Caenorhabditis elegans: one gene and its partners. The protein of the gene in region 1 purifies or fractionates together with the protein of each later gene. This does not show direct contact. Each region holds a gene or a part of one and is shown in the gene's direction. Other genes may lie near its edges.

The links. Proteins that work in one complex are often made in the same cells at the same time.
Region 2: the proteins of B0495.5 (region 1) and acox-1.6 fractionate together in Caenorhabditis elegans (co-fractionation; one large-scale study listed by BioGRID). This does not show direct contact.
Region 3: the proteins of B0495.5 (region 1) and F32D8.2 fractionate together in Caenorhabditis elegans (co-fractionation; one large-scale study listed by BioGRID). This does not show direct contact.

What each region holds. Positions count from the first base shown.
Region 1 is NC_003280.10:7,693,836-7,701,224, reverse strand, and holds B0495.5 (thioredoxin domain-containing protein), read left to right. Parts: upstream 1-2,730; 5' UTR 2,731-2,741; coding exon 2,742-2,779; intron 2,780-2,823; coding exon 2,824-2,966; intron 2,967-3,010; coding exon 3,011-3,165; intron 3,166-3,211; coding exon 3,212-3,355; intron 3,356-3,412; coding exon 3,413-4,676; intron 4,677-4,722; coding exon 4,723-4,858; intron 4,859-4,906; coding exon 4,907-5,216; 3' UTR 5,217-5,290; downstream 5,291-7,389. Other genes in the region: cdk-11.1 (Cyclin-dependent kinase 11.1), read right to left, coding at 1-732, 802-1,020, 1,071-1,162, 1,216-1,381, 1,425-1,548, 1,596-1,708, 1,754-1,804, 1,849-1,912; Protein moa-2, read left to right, coding at 2,192-2,303, 2,399-2,550; nhx-2 (Na(+)/H(+) exchanger protein 2), read left to right, coding at 7,278-7,389.
Region 2 is NC_003284.9:15,832,812-15,842,255, reverse strand, and holds acox-1.6 (Acyl-coenzyme A oxidase), read left to right. Parts: upstream 1-3,709; 5' UTR 3,710-3,730; coding exon 3,731-3,847; intron 3,848-4,014; coding exon 4,015-4,196; intron 4,197-4,250; coding exon 4,251-4,318; intron 4,319-5,208; coding exon 5,209-5,392; intron 5,393-5,437; coding exon 5,438-5,860; intron 5,861-6,998; coding exon 6,999-7,352; intron 7,353-7,407; coding exon 7,408-7,866; intron 7,867-7,917; coding exon 7,918-8,134; 3' UTR 8,135-8,184; downstream 8,185-9,444. Other genes in the region: serp-1.1 (Stress-associated endoplasmic reticulum protein 2), read right to left, coding at 133-173, 500-656.
Region 3 is NC_003283.11:10,880,174-10,887,362, forward strand, and holds F32D8.2 (ATPase_AAA_core domain-containing protein), read left to right. Parts: upstream 1-3,604; coding exon 3,605-3,782; intron 3,783-3,826; coding exon 3,827-3,938; intron 3,939-3,986; coding exon 3,987-4,091; intron 4,092-4,149; coding exon 4,150-4,195; intron 4,196-4,238; coding exon 4,239-4,352; intron 4,353-4,397; coding exon 4,398-4,529; intron 4,530-4,576; coding exon 4,577-4,792; intron 4,793-4,837; coding exon 4,838-4,968; intron 4,969-5,011; coding exon 5,012-5,092; intron 5,093-5,137; coding exon 5,138-5,248; intron 5,249-5,291; coding exon 5,292-5,442; intron 5,443-5,493; coding exon 5,494-5,642; intron 5,643-5,692; coding exon 5,693-5,756; intron 5,757-5,812; coding exon 5,813-5,929; downstream 5,930-7,189. Other genes in the region: cat-6 (Protein kinase domain-containing protein), read left to right, coding at 704-758, 824-927, 2,104-2,244, 2,296-2,445, 2,522-2,951, 3,017-3,138; F32D8.3 (TIL domain-containing protein), read left to right, coding at 6,797-6,977, 7,023-7,090, 7,178-7,189.

The sequences.
Region 1 (7,389 bases):
CAACAATTGATGTAAACTTTTTCAGTGGATCTCCATATTCACGAGCAAGTCCAAAATCGGCAATTTTCAGAATTCCCTTGTGAGACATCAATAAATTGGATGTTTTGAGATCACGATGCAGAATCCAAAGTTTATGCATGTGTTCAATTCCAGATAGCAGTTGCTGCAGAAGTGTTTTCTGTTCACCTATCGAAAATCGTTTGTTTCGACGAGACATTGTGTCTAAAAGACTTTTCATGTCATGTTCAACAAACTCCATAGCCATGTAGATCTTATCCATATTACTTCCTAGTAGAATTTCTTTAACATTCACAATATTCGGGTGATTTCCAGCTTTTAGAAGCATATTGATTTCACGAAGAGCAGTGATTGGAAATCCTTCTTTCTCTTTCTCCATTTTCAGTCTTTTTAACGCGACAATCTCATCCGTTCGTTTATCTTTTCCACGATATACAACTCCAAATGTTCCTTCATCAACTCGATTCACACATTCATATTCATCAATATTTCTACATCCCATGAGACCGGGATAAAAAACAGGTAACTGGGCGATCAATGTTTTTTGTTTCATTGACGCACGTTTTTTCATTGCTTCTTTATGAAGTCTTTGTTCAGTTTCAGTCATTTCTTCCCATTCTCGATCTTCTGGTGTTTTTAAATATTTATCTTCATCGCTATCTGCATCATCATCCGAATGTAGAGCATCATCCAATACTTCTATGACATCGTCATCTATAATTGATTTAAATGAATAAAAGTATAACTTAATTGTTTCAATTTTGATACTGGGCAAATTTTTACCGTCTTCAGCTTTTCCAGGGCTCTTCGGTTTAGTATCGTCATGATCACTTTCTGGGTCGCTTTCGAATTTTGAGTATTTCTTGGGGCCAGCTGGTGAGTCTATAGTGAATTCGACAATTTCTTTCTCTTCCTTTTCTTCTAATATCTCAATTGGCGACATTTCTACATCTTCAATCACGAGAACATCGTCATCTTTCTTTTTGTAGTTCGGGTCGAGAACTGAAATTTTCAAAATTAAATCACTATAAAATGTATGTGGTTTAAAATACTTCTATCAAAGAGCTTTGCATCTGCTGGAACATCTGTATGTTTTGACTTTTTGTGTGGCGATTTGTCATTATCAGGAGAAGTTGTGCTGGATCTAAAAAATCAAACAAAAATTATTAATTTCTTTTCAGAAAGAAACGAACTTACTTTTTATGACGATCAATATGCCTTTTGTGTTTTTCTGAGTCTCTTTCAGACGAACGATCTCTGTTACTTCTGTTTGTGCGGTGCCCATCTGTTTCGTGTTTTCTATGATGGTGATGATGTCTATGTTCATGTACTTTCTGATCTCTTCCAGATCTTTCCTGTCGTCCTAAAAGTATTAATAAGTACCTCTTATTCTATTTGCTGATTACCTTTGAAATCACGATCTTTTTGTCGAGCATCTGGTCCACGCACGTCTCTTCTGTCATCTCGTTTGTCCTTTTCCCGTTTTTTATCTCTTTCTTTATCTCGATATCGGTCCTCTTTTGCCTTTTGCTGTGAATTAATAATTTTAAAACAGTAATACACAAAAATTAACATACAGCGTTTTTAGGCTGTATTGAAAACCGTTGTTCTGTGGTATCATCATCGCTTTCACTGTTCTTCCGCTTGCTCAGACGACTTAATATGCTTTCACGCATTTTTGATTCCAAACCTGAAATTTATAATTAGTAGTTTCAAATTTAATCACTTTATATACCTTTGTTCGACTTGGCTGGATTTGGCTCATCGGAACTCGACGCTCTTTGACCTAGAAATAATAAGTTACACTCAAAACTTGTGAAACCTACTTACTTTTCTTGTGACTTTCATCTGACAGCTCACCTTCGTCATGAGAACTTCCCAAGTGGTCGCTCATAATGATTTTATCTTGAAAACGAAATAATTCTGAATATAAATTTAACAATTTTGATCAAGAAAACATTTTCGAATAGGAGTACGGTGGACAAGTACGCAAACACCGATTACACCTCGTGCGCGCATTCTTACGACACTTGTTTTTTTTATCGTTTTTAAAAACAGCGACGACTTCTTAAATAATCTTTTATCTATAAGTTTCATGTGTTCCCTCTTTTTTATTTATATAAATTCACTGTTACATTGGTTTCTTCGTTAAATATTAGTAGATTTCCAGAAAATGGCTCTTCCCGGAGAACGATTCCACGTTCTTGCTCAATTGGAGCATCTTCAATCGAAATACACCGGTACGGCCATGCGACATGAACCGTCACGAATGGATTGTGAATCAGGTTTGTTTCTCTCTTTTTCTCATAAATTTCTTTAAAACGGTAAACGGCTACTGCCAAAATCTATAGAAAGTTTGAATAAACAAATAATATTCCAGCACCGCGACACTCGCGCCTTTCAAATGTCTCATCCCGGAATGAACACGTATATTGCCGTTGTGGAGAACGAGAGCCGAGCTCGAACCCGCTTCAATCTGATAAATCGCATGATTCAGCCGTGTGGACCGCCTCCAGAGAAGAATCCTCTTGATGACGCCTAACTATCTGAATAACTTATTTTATATTTTTTATGAAGTAATTTGATCTCCATTCAATGTGTTTGAGAATATTTAACCTTGAGTAGAAATTTGGAAAAAATGTTGGTTACTCTATGATACTTCATGGTAGCTCGTGTTAGTGATAATTTATTTTAGAAAAGATAACAATTCAGAGACAGTGTTGATGTTAAGAGCGCTTGCACCAATAACTGTTATCCGAATGTAAGTTTATTCAATTATGAAAATTGTAAAGCAAAACAAATCAGGACTTCAACGTACAAAAATCGTCTTGGACAGGAAAAGAGTCCTTACCTCCTCCAGCATGCAAACAATCCCATCGATTGGTATCCGTGGGGACAAGAAGCATTCCAGAAGGCTAAAGATAATAACAAACCTATCTTCCTGTCAGGTAGATAATCAAAATATATTATCAAACAAACTTTAATATTTCAGTTGGATATTCAACTTGTCACTGGTGTCATGTGATGGAAAAAGAATCATTTGAAAATGAGGCAACAGCAAAAATCCTGAACGACAACTTCGTGGCTATCAAAGTTGACAGAGAAGAACGACCAGACGTTGATAAACTCTATATGGCTTTTGTCGTGGTATGAAACAAAATTAAAATTGTTTTAATCAATATCTCCATCTCAGGCTTCAAGTGGACACGGTGGATGGCCAATGTCAGTTTTCCTAACACCGGATCTTCATCCAATCACTGGCGGAACCTATTTTCCACCAGACGACAACCGTGGAATGCTCGGCTTTCCAACTATCCTCAACATGATTCATACTGAAGTAGGTGCCACAAAATCTTTTCATTTAAAAATTAGCCAAAGTTTTAAAATTTTTCAGTGGAAAAAAGAAGGAGAGAGTTTGAAACAACGCGGAGCCCAAATTATCAAACTTCTTCAACCTGAAACTGCTTCTGGGGATGTCAATAGATCCGAAGAAGTGTTCAAATCAATATATTCTCACAAACAATCATCTTTTGACAGCAGACTTGGAGGATTTGGCAGAGCTCCGAAATTTCCAAAAGCTTGTGATTTAGATTTTCTAATCACTTTTGCTGCAAGCGAGAATGAATCCGAAAAAGCCAAAGACAGTATCATGATGCTTCAAAAAACTTTGGAATCAATGGCTGATGGAGGAATCCATGATCATATTGGAAATGGATTTCATCGATATTCTGTCGGATCCGAATGGCATATTCCACATTTTGAGAAAATGTTGTATGATCAATCTCAGCTATTGGCTACATATTCAGATTTTCATAAATTGACAGAAAGAAAACATGATAATGTAAAGCATGTCATTAATGACATCTACCAATACATGCAAAAGATCAGTCATAAAGATGGTGGATTCTATGCTGCAGAAGATGCTGATTCCTTGCCAAATCATAATTCTTCGAATAAAGTTGAAGGAGCGTTTTGTGCTTGGGAGAAAGAAGAAATTAAACAATTATTGGGAGACAAGAAAATTGGATCAGCTTCACTTTTCGATGTAGTTGCTGATTATTTCGATGTTGAAGATAGTGGAAATGTTGCACGATCTTCGGATCCCCATGGTGAACTGAAGAATAAAAATGTCCTGAGAAAGTTGCTGACTGATGAGGAGTGTGCCACGAATCACGAAATATCTGTTGCGGAACTCAAGAAAGGAATCGATGAAGCAAAAGAAATTTTGTGGAATGCTCGAACACAAAGACCAAGCCCACATCTTGATTCAAAAATGGTTACTTCGTGGCAAGGACTAGCAATCACAGGACTTGTGAAAGCATATCAAGCTACTGAAGAAACAAAATATTTGGATCGAGCTGAAAAGTGTGCAGAATTCATCGGAAAATTTTTAGACGATAATGGAGAGCTTAGAAGATCTGTATATTTGGGTGCTAATGGAGAAGTTGAACAAGGCAATCAAGAAATAAGAGCATTTTCTGACGATTATGCGTTTTTGATTCAAGCTCTTTTGGATCTCTATACAACAGTTGGCAAAGATGAATATCTCAAGAAAGCCGTTGAGCTTCAGAAAATTTGTGATGTAAAGTTCTGGAACGGAAATGGATACTTCATCAGCGAGAAAACCGATGAAGATGTTTCTGTGAGAATGATTGAAGGTTACTATTTTAATTTTGATTAGTACACATAACACTTAAATTTCAGATCAAGATGGAGCAGAGCCCACAGCCACTTCAATCGCATCAAACAACCTTCTTAGGCTTTATGACATTCTTGAAAAGGAGGAATATCGTGAGAAGGCGAATCAGTGTTTCCGGGGAGCTTCAGAGCGACTGAATACGTAATATCGAACAACTTTTGCTTGAGCTCGCAACATTTTTAATTTTAGGGTCCCAATCGCCCTACCAAAAATGGCAGTCGCACTTCATCGATGGCAAATTGGATCTACCACATTTGTTCTCGTTGGTGATCCGAAATCTGAACTTTTGTCCGAAACTCGAAGCCGACTGAATCAAAAGTTCTTGAATAACCTGTCTGTTGTACATATTCAATCAGAAGAAGATTTGTCAGCATCGGGACCTTCTCATAAGGCAATGGCTGAAGGACCGAAACCTGCAGTGTACATGTGTAAAGGATTCGTTTGTGATAGACCAGTTAAAGCCATTCAGGAATTAGAAGAACTATTCAATAAATTCTGAATGTGTAGATTTTGTCTTATCCAGATACTGTAAATATGTCATTTTTTGTCAGTTGAATAAACGCTTAGTCATTTATCGAACATCAGTTTCAGCTTTGTGGCGACCACCACGTGTCTACTGATAAATTAACAGATTGTACTACTTTGCATGTAATGTGCTAGAGGACGGTTCTCTTATCATCACAGGCACTGACGACACTGCCAAAGTTTTACAAGCTAATTTATTAGCGCTCTTCGGCCGCAATGGCACGATTTGAATTGGTTTATTGATTCCAGAGACTAGTTTCAGTTTTTGATAAGAATGAATTATTATTCATTTTCTAGTTTATGAATATATATGTAACTAGGGAAGCCTATTTATGATTTTTCTAATTTTTTAAAATTGTTATTTTAGAGAGGTGTGAAATTAAAATGATATATATTTTCGAGTACTTTAAAAAATAAAAACGGTACATCCTATATTAAATTTTTGATTTTAGATCCTTCCAAGTTATTGACAAGTATTAACTGCACTTCTCATAAAAATTTTTCAAATAGATCTATTTAGTCTGGAATAGGAATACTTTTGGCAATTTTCTTGAGAATCATAGAAGACGAATTTCTGAACTGCTCTTTGTGAAGCCACGCCCATATATTGGCATTTTTGTATCCAATTTTTTGTAGAGTACCTGAATCATTATCACTACATCTGCTAAACAATATATGGAAGTTCTATGAGAGGTGAAAGGTAAATCATATAACAACTGTAATAACATAGAAATGATTGTAGTATATTTCCAATTAGGCTGAGTTGATCTTATTGAAGAGTTTGAATCATAGCAATTTTTTCCTCTTTTAGTATTTTTCAAAACAAATTTTCACAATGTTAGATGTAGTATTTAGCATTAAGGCATCTGTAATCTCCCAGAAATGTTTTGGGAATAAAACCCTTTGACTCTTTGGTCCTTTTTTGCTCCAAATAATATCTGATTTTAACCCGTTCTGATCTACTTTTTACCTTTCGATCGTCACATCCGCGTACACGTTTCTCTTGCTCTCAATTGCTTATCTTTATGGCCTTTTCCCCCACTTTTTGTCGACTATCATGCGGACGTGGCTTCCTTGCTCCCTCCCGGTTTTTTTGAAAACACTTGTGAATTTATTTTTTGTGGTCAAAATTACGAAACATTTGAATTCTCAATCTATTTATAGACCGGGTGTGGTATGTTATGCCATGTTTTTGTCATTGCCAAATGAACATCGATATTTTAATTTTCTGAACTTACCGTACCCCCTGCGTTACTATTTTATTTTTAATTTGTATAATTTCATTGCTATAATTTGTTGTCCTTGAAACATTGAAGATATCGAAGAAATAATGACAAAAATCAGATAGAACAATTTTTCCTACTCATCAACTCACATTTTTCTATTTTCTCTTGTGCGAAAAAAATAGTATATTGGGAATATTTATAGTATTGCAACTTTTCTCTTAGTTCGCAGAGTTGCAATACTACTAGATCCCTAATAGAGGAAATATGGTGACCAGCTTTTTGCAATTGGAAAGTTGGGAAAAAAGTATATATATTAATAGACTTACACTCTTGTAGTTCGTAGAATTTTTCAGGAAATCTGACACGCAAGACTTTTTCAAAAAGTTTTTTTTTTTAATTTGGCAATCTGCCAAAACGTTTACTGAACATTTTGAAAACATCTACCAGTACCTTTAACACAACGAAAAATTGTTCTAAGCAATATTAACTGTGATAATTGATGTTAAGACCTGAAATTTAATCACAAATTTCACCTGGAAATGACAGTAATCGGCTTCTAAATACTGTCGACACAAGTGCCATACCTAAGATTCCAATCCTATTACCATGTTTCCCAATTTCATTCTCTTTCGTATCTCTATTTCTCTTCTTTATTATCAATTACTTTTTATCAGTTCTTCGTTTGCTTTAACATCAAGAGCACATAGCGCTCTCTCGTCTCTCTCTCATGCTCTTTTTGAACTTTTACAAAAAACTATTTCCGGTTGTTTTGATTCTTGGAATTTGAAATAATTTTCAGTGATTAAATCATGTCTCTTCTCCGGAGGCCTTGGGTGCTCGTCGTTGGACTTTTATTGATTATGAGCTATGTTGGAGCAGAATGTGAAGAAGAAGAAAAAGAATATCCATCTAGATATCCAA
Region 2 (9,444 bases), on another chromosome or scaffold:
GGGAACAAGGTTGAATTGGGGGACGAAAGGAACGAAAAGAGAAAGGGGGATTCCGATGGGAGGGGGGGGGGGGAACATGATGACCAGTATGCAATAAATATAATGTGTTGGTGGTGGCGGTGGTGGAGTAATCTACCATCCCATCTTGACGTAGCGGATGATCTCGAAGACGGCTGAAAAAAAGGAACATATTGAAGTGAATTAAAATAAAAGATTTTTGCAATTTTTTATTCTTGCTTATGCTTAAAATCTATCGATAAGCTAGGCGAAGGCAATAGGCGAAAATTGATGCCAAAAATGTGCCTAAATCCTGCCTTGGTAAACTTGGTAAACCAGGTCAATGAAAAATGTCAAAAGTTGACTAAGTTTACGGGTATCTACTAAAATTATTTTTTGAAGGATTTTTTTTGAACTTATAAATTTTTTTTCACAGAGCTACCTACATTATGTTACATGAAAGACCTCACCAATTGAAAAAAAAACCAAAAAAACTACTTACCGGATCCGCAGACGACAAAGACGAAAAGTCCGATGAGCCATGGGGCGGCTGGGTACTTGTCCTCGGCTGGCTTCAAGCTCTTGGCAACATTTCCGCGGTTGTTCACGTTCTTGGAGAATTGCTTGTTAGCAAGTGTCATACGTTGCTTTGGGGCCATGTTGAGAGACTTGTGGAAGATTTAGGTTCTGAAAAATTGATATATTTTTAATTGGAACTATCAAAAAAAAAACGATAGTAATTAGTTCGGTTTGAGAAACAAAATAAAAGAATGAATAACAAATTGCTGAATATCAAGAGAGGGCGAACAGATAGGGAAAAAGAGAAAAGAGCTGAGTGACCCAAATGTGCGGAGAAGGGCGAGGAATTACGAATGAATGTAGGCCGAACGTAGACGAGGCCGCCACGCGAGGCAGTGCAGCTGTGGAACCGACCGACGCAGCACGCCCGCAACGACGCATGGGGGTACGGTAAACGACGTCATGGTGCGTCGTGTTGCAGACTGCAAACACGCAACAAGTGAAGACGCACCACTTTCCGATAGGATGGGAGAGGAGGAGGAGGTGGGGGGAAGAGTGAAGAGACACAGACAGATTTGGTTTATAGAGACTATTGGATAGTCAATTTGTATAGTGTTTTTTTTGGGAATTTGACTGACCAGGAAGTGAGTGGAGCAAACGGGCTGTTTTGCTAAAATCTCTTTCCACATCGAAAAAAAGAACAGTTTTGAAAAATGAGTACAATAAATTTACAGGATATTGAAAAAAAGTGCCGATTAATTCTGAAAAAACTTTGAAAAAAACAATTCAGAACTGACAGCTCATAAGTAATACATATAAAAGGTTCTGGAAAATGTTATCTAATTTTTAAATTAAGAAAAAGTGTTTAATTTGGAAAATATTATAATGTGAAAATTTTCCAAACACACATCCAAATTGTCCTTCATACCTGTTCCAAAAAAAAAACAAAAAATAATGTTGCTAATAAAATTAACATGCATAAAAATAAATTTTTTGGTAGGAAAACTGGTGTTGCAAGATTTTTGACTTTCTGAAAGTCATAATTTTTCAAAGAGTTGACTCATTTTTATTTAAAAAACAGAAGCTTTTGGAAAAATATTTTTAAAAAAGATCCAAACACATCACATTACATATAACATTTAAGTCAACAGCAAAATTGAGCAAGAAATATTACAAAATTTGTTTTAATACAAGAAAATTAAAGTTAAGTTTTTTTGATATTTCCGAGAACTGACATTATTATATATTTCTAATTAATTGTTTTCCGACAGTTAAACTTTGCAATCTGGAATTTCTTCAATTACAGTGACGAATTATAGTAAGTGAGCAAAAATTTGGAGTGAAAGTTTTATAGTACCTTAAGGCTTTGAAAAGAAATTTTTCTTCAATTTGCCAACTTAAATTTTTCTAATTAATTTTTATAAATTGCCAGAAAATTGTTAGACTCCTTGTTAAATTCCTGATTGAACAAACAAATACATTTGTGTTAAGAAACCACGTTTCAATTGAATTATTAATTGTTTCAGTTTCCATTTATTCAAAACGAGAAAATATAATATAGAAAAAATGGATTCCGAAAACAAAAATCCCAAATAAATGCCATGTTTGATATCTAAAAACTTAAATTTTACAAGTGTGGGGGAATAATTCTCAAGAACGGAAGAACATTTTGTATCATGTTTTTATTTAACTTTCAAGATGCGGTGTTTATCTTGCACTCACAAATTTTTTTATCAGAAACTATCTATTCAAATCTGTTTTTTTTTTGTCAAACTACATAGCTCAATCTCAACTTACCCAGTTAAATATGCGACCAGGAAATTTTGTTCCAAAGAAAAAATGAAACCGATAAATTTAAAGTTGGAGTAGCGCCAGTGGGGAAAATGCTTTAAGACATGTATATGGTACCACAATGACCAAATATCATTGTAAAAAAATTTCTAAATTTCATATGATTTTTTGAACATTGAAAAAATCTCGAATTGCATCAACTTCCTATTTGAATTACCGCCAATAATTCGATGTTCGATGGAGCGCGTTTGTATTATTCTAACTTTTATTTATCAATTTTTTTTATTTTTGATTGATTTTTCATGTTTTTTTTTGAGTAATTTTACTGGAAATTTAATGGAAAATTCAAGAGAAATGTAAATTTGTTATTAAAAAGCGGGCGCTGAAGCCTAAATCTGTGAAATAGAATATTTCAGGCTCAACGTCGTTGGAAAACGTTATTTCTTTTTTTTTCAATTATTTTTAGTGAACAATCTACATTTATCTTGAATTTTTCATTAAATTTCTAGTAAAATTACACAAAAAACATGAAAAATCAATCAAAACTAAGAAAAATTGATAAATAAAAGTTAAAATAATGCAAGCGCGCACCATCAAACATCGAACTATTGGCGGTAATTCAATTAGGAATTTGATGCAATTCGAGATTTTTTCAATTTTCAAAAAATCATATAAAATTTAGAAATTTTTTTAAAAAATTTTTACTATGAGGTTTGGTCATTGTGGCACCATAGGCATGTTTTAAAGCATTTTCCCCACTGGCGCTACTCCACCTTTAATCTCATAATCAATTGTGCGGTTATTTTTGTCAATTTTTTGCACCAAGCGTATTTTTAAGAAATTATCAAAACTCTCTCCCTTTTTTGTATAATCAATATTCTTATAAACAAATTAATCCAGTTTAATCAGTCTTCGCGTCTACGTCTCCATGTTTTCAATTGACTCTCCGAGATAACAGGAATGCCTAACGACTACACTGTTGTCGTTGCGTTCATTTCATAAACACTTATTTGCACGTTTTTTCTTACGTGTTTTTTTCTATTTTCGTGTATCTCTGTTTTTTATAGATTTTCCTATAAGTCATATAAAAAGTTTTTTTTTTAAAGACAGTCTATTTAATCAAAGTATACTACAGTTTGAAGCAATTTCTTCAAAAGTGTTTCTATTATATTGGAACCGTAGTATAGTTTTAAACCAACGTTATCAATAAAGTTCCTTGTTATCATTTTTCCCGTTGTTAGCACGTAGTGTCCCATGTAGCCAGTCTATTTATTAGTACTTTTTAAGCAAGTTGTGTTGCTCTGCTAAAAAACTTTGATTTTTTTGTTGTTTTTTTTTTCTTCTAATTTTTCAAAGAAAAAATTTTGTACATATGTATTTCTATCAACTTACCTCTTTTTAGGAACTCACTGAAATTTTTGAAATGAGTCGATGGATTCAGCCAGGCGATAATGTAGACATTACCAATGAACGGAAAAAAGCTACGTTTGACACAGAACGTATGTCAGCTTGGATACATGGAGGGACTGAAGTTATGAAGGTAAGCTTTAGTCTGCATTTGCTAGAAAAAGGTAAATATTAATTCGAAAATTTATATTATTAACTTTTATGGATGATTTTCCAATCTTAATTCAAAAATTATGCCAAAATAAATAACGGAGCTTCCAAAAACAGTTAGTTATTTGGAAAAAAATTCTTAATGTTCAGCGTCGCCGTGAAATTCTGGATTTTGTCAAAAGCGTTGACGACTTCAAAGATCCGGTTCCAACAGAGTTTATGTCTCGCGAAGAACGCATTCTGAACAATGCTCGTAAAGTTGTGGCAATGACAAATAACACCGATCAGATTGATGGATCTGACTTCTTCGGAGAAGGAATGTATTATCAAGCGTCAGTTTTTTTTTGGGAATTTGGTAAAAACATATTAACTGAAAATAATTTAAGATTGACGATGGGCCGTGATCTTCATGCAATGTCGCTTCATTACGTTATGTTTATTCCAACACTTCAAGGTACTATTTTTAGAGAAGTAGAAACCTGAAAATGTTTTCTTCGGAACATTAGAAGTTGTTCCAATATAAAATTTTCAAAAAGAGACTTTTGAAAAATGTTCAAAGTTAAATTCAATTAACTCAAAAAATCACGCATTATTGGCAGTTGCAGCTTTTGATCTTGAGTAGTTTTAAATCTTAAAACTTTTGATCAAACTTTACATTTCAAATGCAACTGTAGTGAAAAAAAAATCTTAAAGGTGGAGTAGCACCAGTGGGGGAAATCTTAAAAACCACTCCAATTGTCTCAAAATGACCAAATATAATAATAAAACTCTTACAAAACTTTTTTGACAATTTTTTATTTAATGTCAAAAAGTGACAATTACTCAGTTTCTGCCACTCATAATTTTGGAAGTCGACCAAAAAAAAAAGTTTTTTTCTTCATTTTTTATACTGTAATTTTGTTTTAACTATTAGTATTAAAACGTTGTAGGGGTCGGGACATGCGACATTGCTTTGAAATTCCTCAAAAACTCATATGTTTCAAAATTTTGGCAACTTGCCAAATAGGTGTAATTTGGCAAAATCCCCAGTGGCGCTACTCCACCTTTAATAGTTCATATTCAATTTAACACTTGCACGGGGCTCCCATGTCGACCCCGAAAACAACTCTCTCACGGTGCGCTCCAAAATTTTTATAGCGGTGCGCGGAACCTAAAAAGTGTCGGACGCGGAGCCACGTTTTCACAAAATAGTGCGATAGGGTATGTCACCATTTGGTGGAGACTTGGCTCCGCGTCCGACACTTTTTGGGTTCCGCGCATCGCTATAAAGACCCCTACTTGCATTTATGATGTAAATCAGAAATCCACGTTAAAATCCAAATTTATCAAATAAAACTTTCTCAGGTCAAACTGACGATGATCAACTGGACGAGTGGCTTACCAAAGCAATTTCCCGTGCAGTAGTTGGAACTTATGCTCAAACAGAACTCGGTCATGGTACAAACCTTTCAAAACTGGAAACCACTGCAACTTATGATCCAGCCACAGAAGAGTTTGTTATGAACTCGCCAACAATCACTGCAGCCAAGTAAGTATTCAAAATGTGATAAGAAATGTGATGGTCTTAATTAAGATGGTGGCCGGGAGGCTTGGGTAAATCGTCGAACTACGCTGTGGTTGTTGCACAGTTGTACACAAAAGGAGAGTGTAAAGGACCTCATCCGTTCATTGTGCAACTTCGCGATGAAGACACTCACTATCCACTCAAGGGAATTCGTTTGGGAGATATTGGACCAAAACTTGGCATCAATGGAAATGACAATGGATTCTTACTTTTCGATAAAGTCAGAATTCCAAGAAAAGCATTGCTGATGAGATACGCAAAAGTGAATCCAGATGGAACTTACATTGCTCCGGCTCATTCCAAATTGGGATATGGAACTATGGTGTTTGTGAGATCAATTATGATCAAGGATCAGTCGACTCAACTTGCGGCAGCTGCAACAATTGCTACGAGATATGCAGCAGTGAGAAGACAGGGAGAAATCACTCCAGGGTAAGTAAGGGTTAATCTGGCTTAAAGGAGGACTAACGGTTCCGACGATTTTGAACGTATAGACCCAAAATGAGCTCGAATGAACGAATTTCGTAATGAAACTGCTCAAAAAAGTTTCAAAAAATTTTTATGGCGGTTCAAAATTTTGAAAAAATTACACTGATTTTGGCTAAAATCGCAAATTTTTCCCATTTTTCTGTGTCACATCATTTCGAAGTTGGATTTTTTGGAATTATCGTCCTTTATTACATATATTGGTGGTTTATCTCATTTAATTTCGTCGATTAAGGTACATTTAAAGCCGATAGGTGACCAAAAATCATCGAAATTGGTTACCTATCGGCTTTAAATGTGCCTTAATCGACGAAATTAAATAAGATAAACTACCAATATGTGTAATAAAGGACGATAATTCCAAAAAAGCTAACTTCGAACAGATGTGACACGGAAAAATGGGAAAATTCGCGATTTTAGCCAAAATCTGTGTAATTTTTTCAAAATTTTGAACCGCCACAAAAAATTTTTGAAAACCTTTTGAGCAGTTTCATTACGAAATTCGTTTATTTGAGCTCATTTTGGGTCTATACGTTCAAAATCGTCCGAACCGTTAGTCCTCCTTTACGTATGAGAAATGTGTACTTTAAAGGTGGAGTAGCGCCAGTGGCGATTTTGTCTAAATGCACTTATAATGATTCAAAACAACAAGAATATCATAATAAAACGCTTTAAAAAATTTTAGATTTTTCATAATTTCCGGTCAAAGTTTTGGCAAATTGCCAAAATTTTGAAAAATACTAGCTTTTGAGAAAATTTGAAGAAATGTCGCATGTTCCGACCTCTACAGTGTTTTAATACAAATAATTTGAACAAAATTAAATCATAAATAATGTCGAAAAAAAAATGTTTTTTTGGTCGACTTCCAAAATTATGAGTGGCAAAATCTGAGTAATTGCCATTTTTTGACAGTAAATAAAAATTTTTCGAAAATTTTTTGAAAAGTTTTATCATAATATTTGGCCATTTTGAGACCAACAGAGTATTTTTTTAAAACTATTTCTCCACTGGCGCTACTTCACCTTTAAATTGTTCAAAAGTTAAAAAAAAGTTCTTAAAATCCTGTCTCACATTATATATTCAGAAAAGGGGAAGTTCAAATCATTGACTACCAAACCCAACAATTTCGTGTCTTCCCTCAACTCGCCAGAGCGTTTGCTTTCATGGCAGCGGCCACTGAAATCCGTGATCTCTACATGACAGTCACCGAGCAGCTTACACATGGAAACACCGAACTTCTCGCCGAGCTTCATGTCTTGTCTTCCGGTCTCAAGTCGTTAGTGTCGTGGGATACTGCTCAAGGAATTGAGCAATGCAGATTGGCGTGTGGAGGTCATGGGTATTCACAAGCTTCTGGATTCCCAGAAATCTATGGATATGCTGTTGGTGGATGCACTTACGAGGGTGAAAATATTGTGATGCTTCTGCAAGTAGCAAGGTGAGATAAAGAACAAGTTCTGATCACTGATATTTAACAAAGACTTATCTTTCAGATTCCTGATGAAAGCAGCCGAAGGAGTTAGAAAAGGAACTGCTAACCTAGCAGACATCGGAGCTTACATTGGAAAGCCTGGAAGGAAAACCTCGCGCTTAACAACTCACCACCACTACACAGATGCTGATATCGTTGAAGATCTTGAGCACGTTGCTCGCAAACAAGTATTCCGAGCCTACGACCGCCTGAAAAAGGCTCAGGAGCATCTTCGTCCGGAAGATGCTTGGAACTCGGTTTCTGTGGAACTTGCTAAAGCTTCGAGATGGCACGTTCGTCTGTATCTCGTGAAGAACTTATTGCACAAAGTTTCTATTGCTCCTCAGGATTTGAAGATTGTGCTCTTCGATGTTGCTCGGCTGTATGCTTATGACATCATTACATCATCAATTGGAGCATTTTTGGAGGATGGCTACATGAGCTCTAATCAGATGAATGAAGTTAAAGAAGGTATTTATAAGTGAGTAAAAAACTTGGAAAGTGGTGATTGCTCATAATTGTCTATTTTCAGATGCTTGTCCAATATGCGTCCAAATGCGGTTGGCCTAGTTGACTGTTGGGATTATGACGATAAAGAGCTCAAATCAGTTTTGGGAAGACGTGACGGAAACGTGTACCCTGCTCTTCTCCAGTGGGCTCAAAATAGTCAACTCAACAGATCGGAAGTTCTTCCGGCCTACGAAAAGTATCTTGGTCCAATGATGAAAGACGCTCGATCAAAATTGTAATCGGTTGTTTTTTTGTTGCTGTATAGTTATATAAATATTTATTATTACGATTTAAAAAAAAGAAAAAGCTTATTTTTTATATATTCTTCAATATTGGCTACATATCCGTGTTGCAGCGGTCATAAATCAGCTTTTATTTAATTATCATATTTTATTCTAGAAGATTATTACCAGTAAATACAGTGTATTTTTTTCTACTTCTACGGCTTTAAAGGGGGGCGCATTTACGTGCGATGGTCTCGAAACGCGCCACTCATTGATTTTTGGGGTGCGTGGCGAGACCATTTGGTTTTTTTGGTTCCAAAAAAATCGATTTTTCGTCAAAATACAAAAAAAAAACCAGAATACAAAAAACAAAAAAACCAAAAAATTCCCAGCCCTGATTGTTATCTGCAACATGGTACATCAACTGGTCTGTAACGAAAATCAGAGCGTTTCAGGACACTCTAGAACACCTATCGCGTTTCTACGTACCAAATTTTGTCTAAAAATACCCAAATGAGACGTCAAAACACTTTTGGACGTTACAAAATTGCAAACTGTGTTCAGTTTCATTTTTAAATTCATTGTTTTTATCGAAAAATGTCAAAAATTTGAGGGGACGCCTTGAAGTTAGGCGGTCATTTTTATGATTTTTTCACCTAATTTATGTAGTTTTCCATATATTTTCATAAAAATTTTGGACAGGGGGTTTTTGACATTTGGAATCGAATGACATTAACCATTTTTTGATAAAAAATTCAGAATGTGGTAGAGTTCAAAAGTTAAGGGAGCGCTATAGAAGTTGGGCGCAGTGTACATACAAACGTAGAAAATTCAAATGTTCTGAGAAAAATATTATTTTTATTTGAAAATATCGTACCATATTTCAAGATATCGAATAAAATTTTATTGAGAAACTTTTTTTAGAAGAAAAACTAGAAAACAATTAAATTTAATACATAAAGCATATGACCCATCTTTCTTTTTTGACCCTTCCAATATGTTCACCGACTTTCGACTGCCGAAGTTATGTTTCCCTCTTTTGTAATCATCGAGCACATGCTGAAATCAATTTTTTTATACATTTTCATGTTTCGGTTTGTTATTCATCCGCTTACCTACGCGGTAAATCTAACATGCAACAATAGCAGTCATCCAATGTGTTGTTTAAACGTTGGCGCTGAAAAACAAAATTCAAAGAATTAAAATCAATACACACAAAAAAAACTTACTTTAATTGTGAGCTGTTTGCTATACTGACTCCCGGTGCTTCTTACAAACATTTGCTTATGATGTCGGTAGACGTCTTCATCATGATCATTGAGCTC
Region 3 (7,189 bases), on another chromosome or scaffold:
TTGAAATTTAGTAATATGCTAGACCCATGTTCCATTTTTCCAGAACAATCAAACATTTACTCGAAAAACCCCTTCACCATACCAATATCCAAGACATCATCTAATCCTATTTTATTTTCATTAATTCCGTCTGTAACCCTCCATAAGCTCCGCCCATTCTCTCATCCTCTTCTACAACACAATTATAGTAATTCTCTTATTGATGGTTGCAGCTGCTGCAAAAGAAGTAGTTTCCTCTTGTTCCTCACTCTTTTTGGGTGGTGGTCACCTCTCGTCTCCACCCATTTTGTCCCTCCCGTCTTCATTTTCCAAAAAGAGGGTGCCCAATGTCCACTCTTCGTAACCCCGGGTAACTCCGCGCGGCGACTCTCCGCACCTTCCGCACTCTTCGATTATTTCTTGCTTTCTTGTCATTTCCTTTTTCAAAATATTTTGAAATTCATGCTGCCCTTTCTTGTGTTCTGAACCTTCTTACGAATTCGAGTCTTTGGTCCCAACTATAGTCCCATCGTCTTTTCACTATACTTATTTTTGTTTTTCTCCCAAATCACATTACGTTTTCGAGAGTACTCCCTTCTTGATTACTATAATAATCATTATTATTCTTATGATTATTAAAGACATTTGTATAATCTTCTTTGTTTTGCACAGCACTTGTTTTTCAGCTCAATCTCTTCCTCCAAATAATAACTAATTGAAAACAATGAGAGCCCGTTCGAGTTCCGTAACCGTTCTATACGACAGGAGAAATCGAAAAGGTTTGCTTTCGTTTTTCTTTCATTTTTCATATAATCAAAATTATACCCCTTTGCAATCTTTACAGGTGTTTCTCTTGATAGAAACAATAATTATGCATCTCGTGAAGTTGAAAAACAACCTAGAATGGTTCATACATCATCTCGTCACGTCAATGAAGGATTTTTTGGAGTGAGTCAGAACATGAACCTGAGCCAATCTTGTTTTTTTTCAACATTAATAATGGGGGATAAGTACAACTATACACTTTTCGTATATATGTGCACTTTCTGAATGTCCATTCCATTTCCGTCCACTCGTTTTTTTTTTCATTTTTCTTTTTACTTTTACTTATTACTTTTTTGAGCAAGTTGTGAGTCTCCAGATGTTTCTGTTATTGCATCATATGCTTGGTACGGGGACTAGTACGGAAATGGGAACGAAGAAAGAATAAGAGAGTCACCGGAAATGGTCCCAATAGGTATTTTTTGTATATGTTTATGGGATGTTGACTCATCGAACAAAATGTCTAGGGTTGAGAATGTTTTGAAAGCTAAGTGAATCAACGATCAGAATTTGATTGTGATTATAGGTTTGAACATGTTTCTTCAGTTTCTTCAGTTCATTCATAGTATCGGTTGCAGTTCGGCAATTGAGGGTATTCCCCTTGTCCATATTTCTTTTTGATCCTTGGAAGCCTCGCAATCGTGGCTTTGAAATTAAAATTTTTACTGATAAAATTTTGAATTTCCCGTACTTTGCCAGTTAAAAGAACTGTTATCTATGAGGGTCCATACAAAAAAGCATTTAAATTGAAAGAATTCACCAATTTTTACAAAATTGACAAGAACAACAAAGTAACCTTCAAACTTCGAAATATTTACCTCATGCTCCCAATAAACTTCCAACGTTTGGCCGATTTTTCACTTCAGTAAGCATGCTTGTCTGTCCCGATCTTTTGTTGATACGTTGTGTCAAAAGTTTTTAAAAGTTCAAAATTTACGTAATACCCAAATAAAACATGTCTACTTTCTGCAATTACTGCCAAAGATCTACGAAAGAAATGTTCCACCTCATTGACTTTAGCGACCTATTTAACAAATATTTTACTTTTAGCAAACGAACACTTCTGGAAAATGTTTTTTGAACGCAAAGGCCTTGTTCCATTTTCCTTCTCGGCACATCCGTCATAACAATAACTTGTAGTATGTTCAAGGGACAAACCGCTTCTGGGTTTAGGTTAGAATATGCATAAGAAATTGGGATGAGGGAAATACTACATTCCGGATAGTTAGGCAACAGATCATGTCACTAATGGAATCTTTCAGCGTCTCACTTTCTTCATTCAACTTTCATTTCTTTATTTAGGTTTCCAAATGGATCCAACGTGTTGACGGGCGTCAAGACATTGAAAAGCAATACGAGATTGGGGCTATTATTGGCAAAGGAAATTTCTCGAGTGTGCATTTAACTCGACGCAAGGAAGATGGCACCAAATGTGCGCTTAAGGTTCGGTACCAGTCAACATTGCAATTTTCATTTCCTTCAAAGTTTTTTCAGCAAGTTGAGAAAAGAGCAATGCGAGGGAAATGCTTTTTTGTGGACAATGAGGTGGAGATGTTGTCACTCATTCAACATGATCACATCATATCGATTATCGATGCTTTTAGCACTGAAAATCAATACTTCATAGTTTTCGAACATGCACAGGTGAATGATACTCCCAGTTTTGAACAATAACGTGCAAAACTTGACAACACAGTTTGAAAAAAAAAGATTTTTTCAGTACGGGGACTTATATGAAACTATCCGTAAAAATGGTCGAATCGAGGAACCAGATGCTGCTATCATAACTCTCCAAGTTGCATCTGCACTCAATTATCTTCACGAAAGAAATGTGGTTCACAGAGATGTCAAACCTGAAAATCTTCTTCTCGTTGACAAATTTAGTGTGAAGCTTTGCGATTTTGGATTGGCATGTCACATTCTTGGACCTCTGTACCGTATCTGTGGAACCCCAACCTATTGCGCACCAGAAGTTCTTCGGGAGACCGGATATTCGACAAGATGTGATATTTGGTCCCTTGGAGTTGTTCTTTATGTTATGCTTGTTGGATATGCTCCATTCCGTGCACCAGATCAAACCAGATTATTCAAACTTATAATGCAAGCTAAACCAAATCTGGATATGCCAGAATGGAAAGGAATTTCATTGAGTGAGTTGACTGAAACTGAATCTCTAGAAAAAAAATTATTCATAGAAAAAGGAGCAAATTTTCAGAGGCTAAAGATTTGGTATCTCGCTTGATGAATAAAACTGAAGAACGCCGACCACTTGCATCCCAAATAATGGCTCATCCATGGATTGCTCCATACACCATGGAAAATATTGATGATGAATGAATGAAGAAAATTTATAAGTATTGCCCGGTGCCAATGTCTTTCCTTTTCTTGCATATTGATTTGAATAAATAAAATGTACAGTTAAATTTATAAGTTTTCAAAATCTCTTCAAGATAAAAAAACGTGCTCCTATTAAAAAACAGATACATAAAAGTATATTAAAATTGATAAACGCAAACAATTTCTACTTTTTTCGCAGTGTGAGCGGCTGAAAGATTGAACTATTTCCGATGAAAGATGGTGAAAGCCCGTGACTGATGGTTATCCAAAAGACAGTTTCGATGCACTTTTCACGTCAAAATTATATATTTTTAACAACTTTCCTCTTTATAAATACCAAGTTGTAACATATAATCAACTGACCATATCTGGTATTCATTTGTTACATGAACTGGTTCCGGCATTAAGCATCCCCGTCTCTTATGTACATTCATTTGTTCATTCACACCACAAAAGCCATTTAACAATGTCGTTCAATCTAAGAAAACACCAAAGTATTCTTCCAAGTAGCATGATTTTAATGTTTCTTTGCTTTTTTCTTTTAATATTTTCGGTGATAATGAGTCATTTTTCAATCGAGATTAAAGAATTTGATAAGGATGGTGGAATCAAGTATAAACCAGAGTTTGTTTATTCCTTGGTAGGTATGTGATGTTTTTGATTAATTTTCCTGCAGTCTGATTTTCAGAAACCAGAGAATTACTGACCAATGTTTGTAAACTTCCATATATTTTCTTTCCGAATGAAGATGAGGACGTTTTTGGACTTACACCGGACAAATCGAAACAACATATTGTGAGGTGAGGAAAATTGAATTATGCAGAAAATCCAATGAATAACATTTCAAGAGGCGAATGCAAAATAAATGAACTGAATGAAAAGGTTGACTTATCATCTGACGGATATTTGACACTTCGATCAAAAAATACAAATGATTTACCCTCTGATATAAGGTTTGAACTATTTAATTTTTTGTCTTCAATAAGTCAATAACTCAACATATAACTTCAGATGCACCTTTTACAAAAATAGTGGGCCAAATGAGCACCCAATTAAGGTATGAAAGTTAAAATTAAATCTTTAATAATCATAAACATCAGGTTGAAAAAAATGTGCCCGTTAAAGTTCCATTCTACAATTTTGCTTTTGCTTGCGAAAGAAACGGTATTGTTGAATTTCTGAAACCCTTTGTGAATTTTGCATCAATTCCAAAAGTAAGATGAGTTAACAATAGAATCTAAAATTCAACACCATTTTAGAAATCAAACGGGGGATCAATTGCCATAATATTTCTTCCAGCAATAAATCACAAACTATTTATGAAGAAAATGCCGTTGAGTAAGCATTTCATGCAAGACAACCAGTTCAGATTTGCACAATTTATGAGCAAAGTAAGATGTTACTCGATTTTGTAATTATCAATATCGCTAATATTCAGAATGAACCAAATTCAATGCAAGATTTGTTACTACAACTTGGAATTTCAAATAAAATTAATATGTTCAGAAAAGCAAAGCAAAATAATTTTACAACTTTTTTCTCTGGTCCACAACAAATCAGATATATGATTGATGTAGATTATGATACTTTGGATCATCAGAATTTCATAACACAATTCTTAATTGATGGAAACTTATGTTTGAAAAATGGAAAAGTAAGTTTTATATTTCAAAAAAAGTTTATATCACAATTTTTCTAGAAATTAGTAAATGATCAATTGGAAAAAATCGGAGCATTTCTGACATCAACAGCAGATTCCAAGGTGTTTTCAGCAATGTTTATTGATGAATATGATGAATATCGTAGACAATCAATTGATCAAGATTTGAAGTATTATAAAAGTTTTTGAGGAAAAAAACGGACCTTTTTTCAGAAAAATGTTGGATCTATTAAAGGAATCAAACATTTTCGAGAACACTACACTAATCATCACTTCGTACGACTTATCAACAAAGTGAGATTCTTATTTACATTACATGTTAATTTGAACAATTTGCAGAGATATTGAAAACGAAAACGACAAATATCCAATGTTTGCTTTTCGTCCATCCAACCAATTCATAGAAAATAATAATCAGAAACTATATTTCATGAATATGAATTTCAACAGGTTAGGTCTAAAAATTATATTTAAAAAGAATATCTGAGTTTAGGTTATTGTCTTCTACTAATTTCAATCAAATGCTTGTTGAATTAATCAATCCGAAAGAAAAATCTTCAAAATCTGTCTTCATAGCTCAACCAACATCAAGGAACTGTACGTCTGAAGGAATATCAGAAAATATATGTTTATGCATGAATATGGTAATTTCTTTGAAAGTCGGAGAAAAATATAATTATACTTTCAATGTTTAGAGTACATCCTCTGGGTATCCTGAAAAAGGCGAAAAAAACTTCCTTCAAACATTGCGAACAAGATTTACACAAGAAGTGAAAACACACAAATGTGTTCGTTCGTTTGAACTTGAAGATTATAAAATTTTTTATGAATACTCAATTGGAACGTGCGTTATTTTATTTGTATTTCTCTACAATTAGATAAACTGTTGTTCAGAAGTAAGGAAGTACGTGGCGTAGAATTGACCGGATTTGTGAATATTATCAGTTCAAGGGGTAAGGTAAGTTCAATTAATTTTATCTTTTTTTGTTGCAACTAATTTGTTTTTTTTTCCAGAAAACCCTTTTGCTGAAAAAGATGTTCACCTTCAAACCGGAGTTTGCTTCATTTAATAGTTTCGATACAGCAAGGGTTGTTGTCGGTTATGAAGTTAACATTGGTATTGCAAGGTAGGGATTTCCGGTGGAAATTGTTTATTTATTAATCTGTTTTCAGCATGTGTGATTTGTAAAACAACAATCTCACAGGCACTGGCAAAGATTAATACGAGATTCCAAATTTCAGAATGTCACATATCTCACTATATAGTTTGTTCTTATTATTTTTCAAATTATATATGAAATTGATTTTAAGCATATTGTTTTTTTTCCAAAACTGACCCACATAAACAACGAATTTTCATCCCCCGTTTCACCTCATTTCTTTCGTCCTTCCTAGTTTTTCCCTCGCTTTCCATTCTCCTTTTTATTCGATTTTACGCCCTTTTCATCAGCTTTTCCCCTCAATCCTTATCAAATTCCATTACATCACCATGTTCCTCTGTGTTCTGTGATTGTTTCCATATCAATTAGTTCTGTACAGATGACCACCTTTTGTCCGAATCCCCAGCCCGTCTCGTTCGTCACGTTTTTCACTCACTTTCTTCTTCAGTTCGGTTCCACAAACGGCTTCCGTCTGCGTCTCTGAACATTGTTTCACTGTTTCTTCTCTCTTTTTTTTGTCTACTGAGACATACAAAACCTTGTAATAATATCTAGATGCAGGTCTCACCTTACTGTACTATTTTTCGAGATCTGAATTTCCTCGAGACTATTAAAGACGGACTGAAACAGTGGCTACTTCTGTAGAGTGAAGCCATGTTTGAATGTTTGAAGGCCGTTCCTCTAGATTTTTATAGCTTTTATCGGAATTGCCCATCATCATCAAATTAATAATATCGTATTCCTTTCCGATTCATATTCGCACCTTGCCATTCCATTTGTCTGAACTGTTCCATTTCCATCTCTCATTCATTACATTCACCTACATTCTCATTTGCAGATGCATACTCTCTCCATTTTATTACCTTTTCTACTTGTGTTATCCACATTTTCTCAAGTATCTCATGAGTTCCGGCATAAAGCTTTTCGAACATTGAAAACTCCAAAAGTCAATAAACAAAGGTTATCTTTGATTATTCAAAGACTACGTATGAATGATACCACTAGAATAAATGGAGAAGGTATGTAATTTGAATGGGAATTTAAATACAATTGAAAGGTTTCAGAAAACTGCCCTATGTTCCAATCATTTTCTCATTGTGCCTGTGAATCAACCTGCAACAATCCAGACCCGGTAAGAACCTTTTTTCTCAAATCCAATCGTAAATAACAGGCAAAGTTTCCAATAGTACTATTATCGGTATAATTCAAAAAATTCCAGTATTGCTCTAAA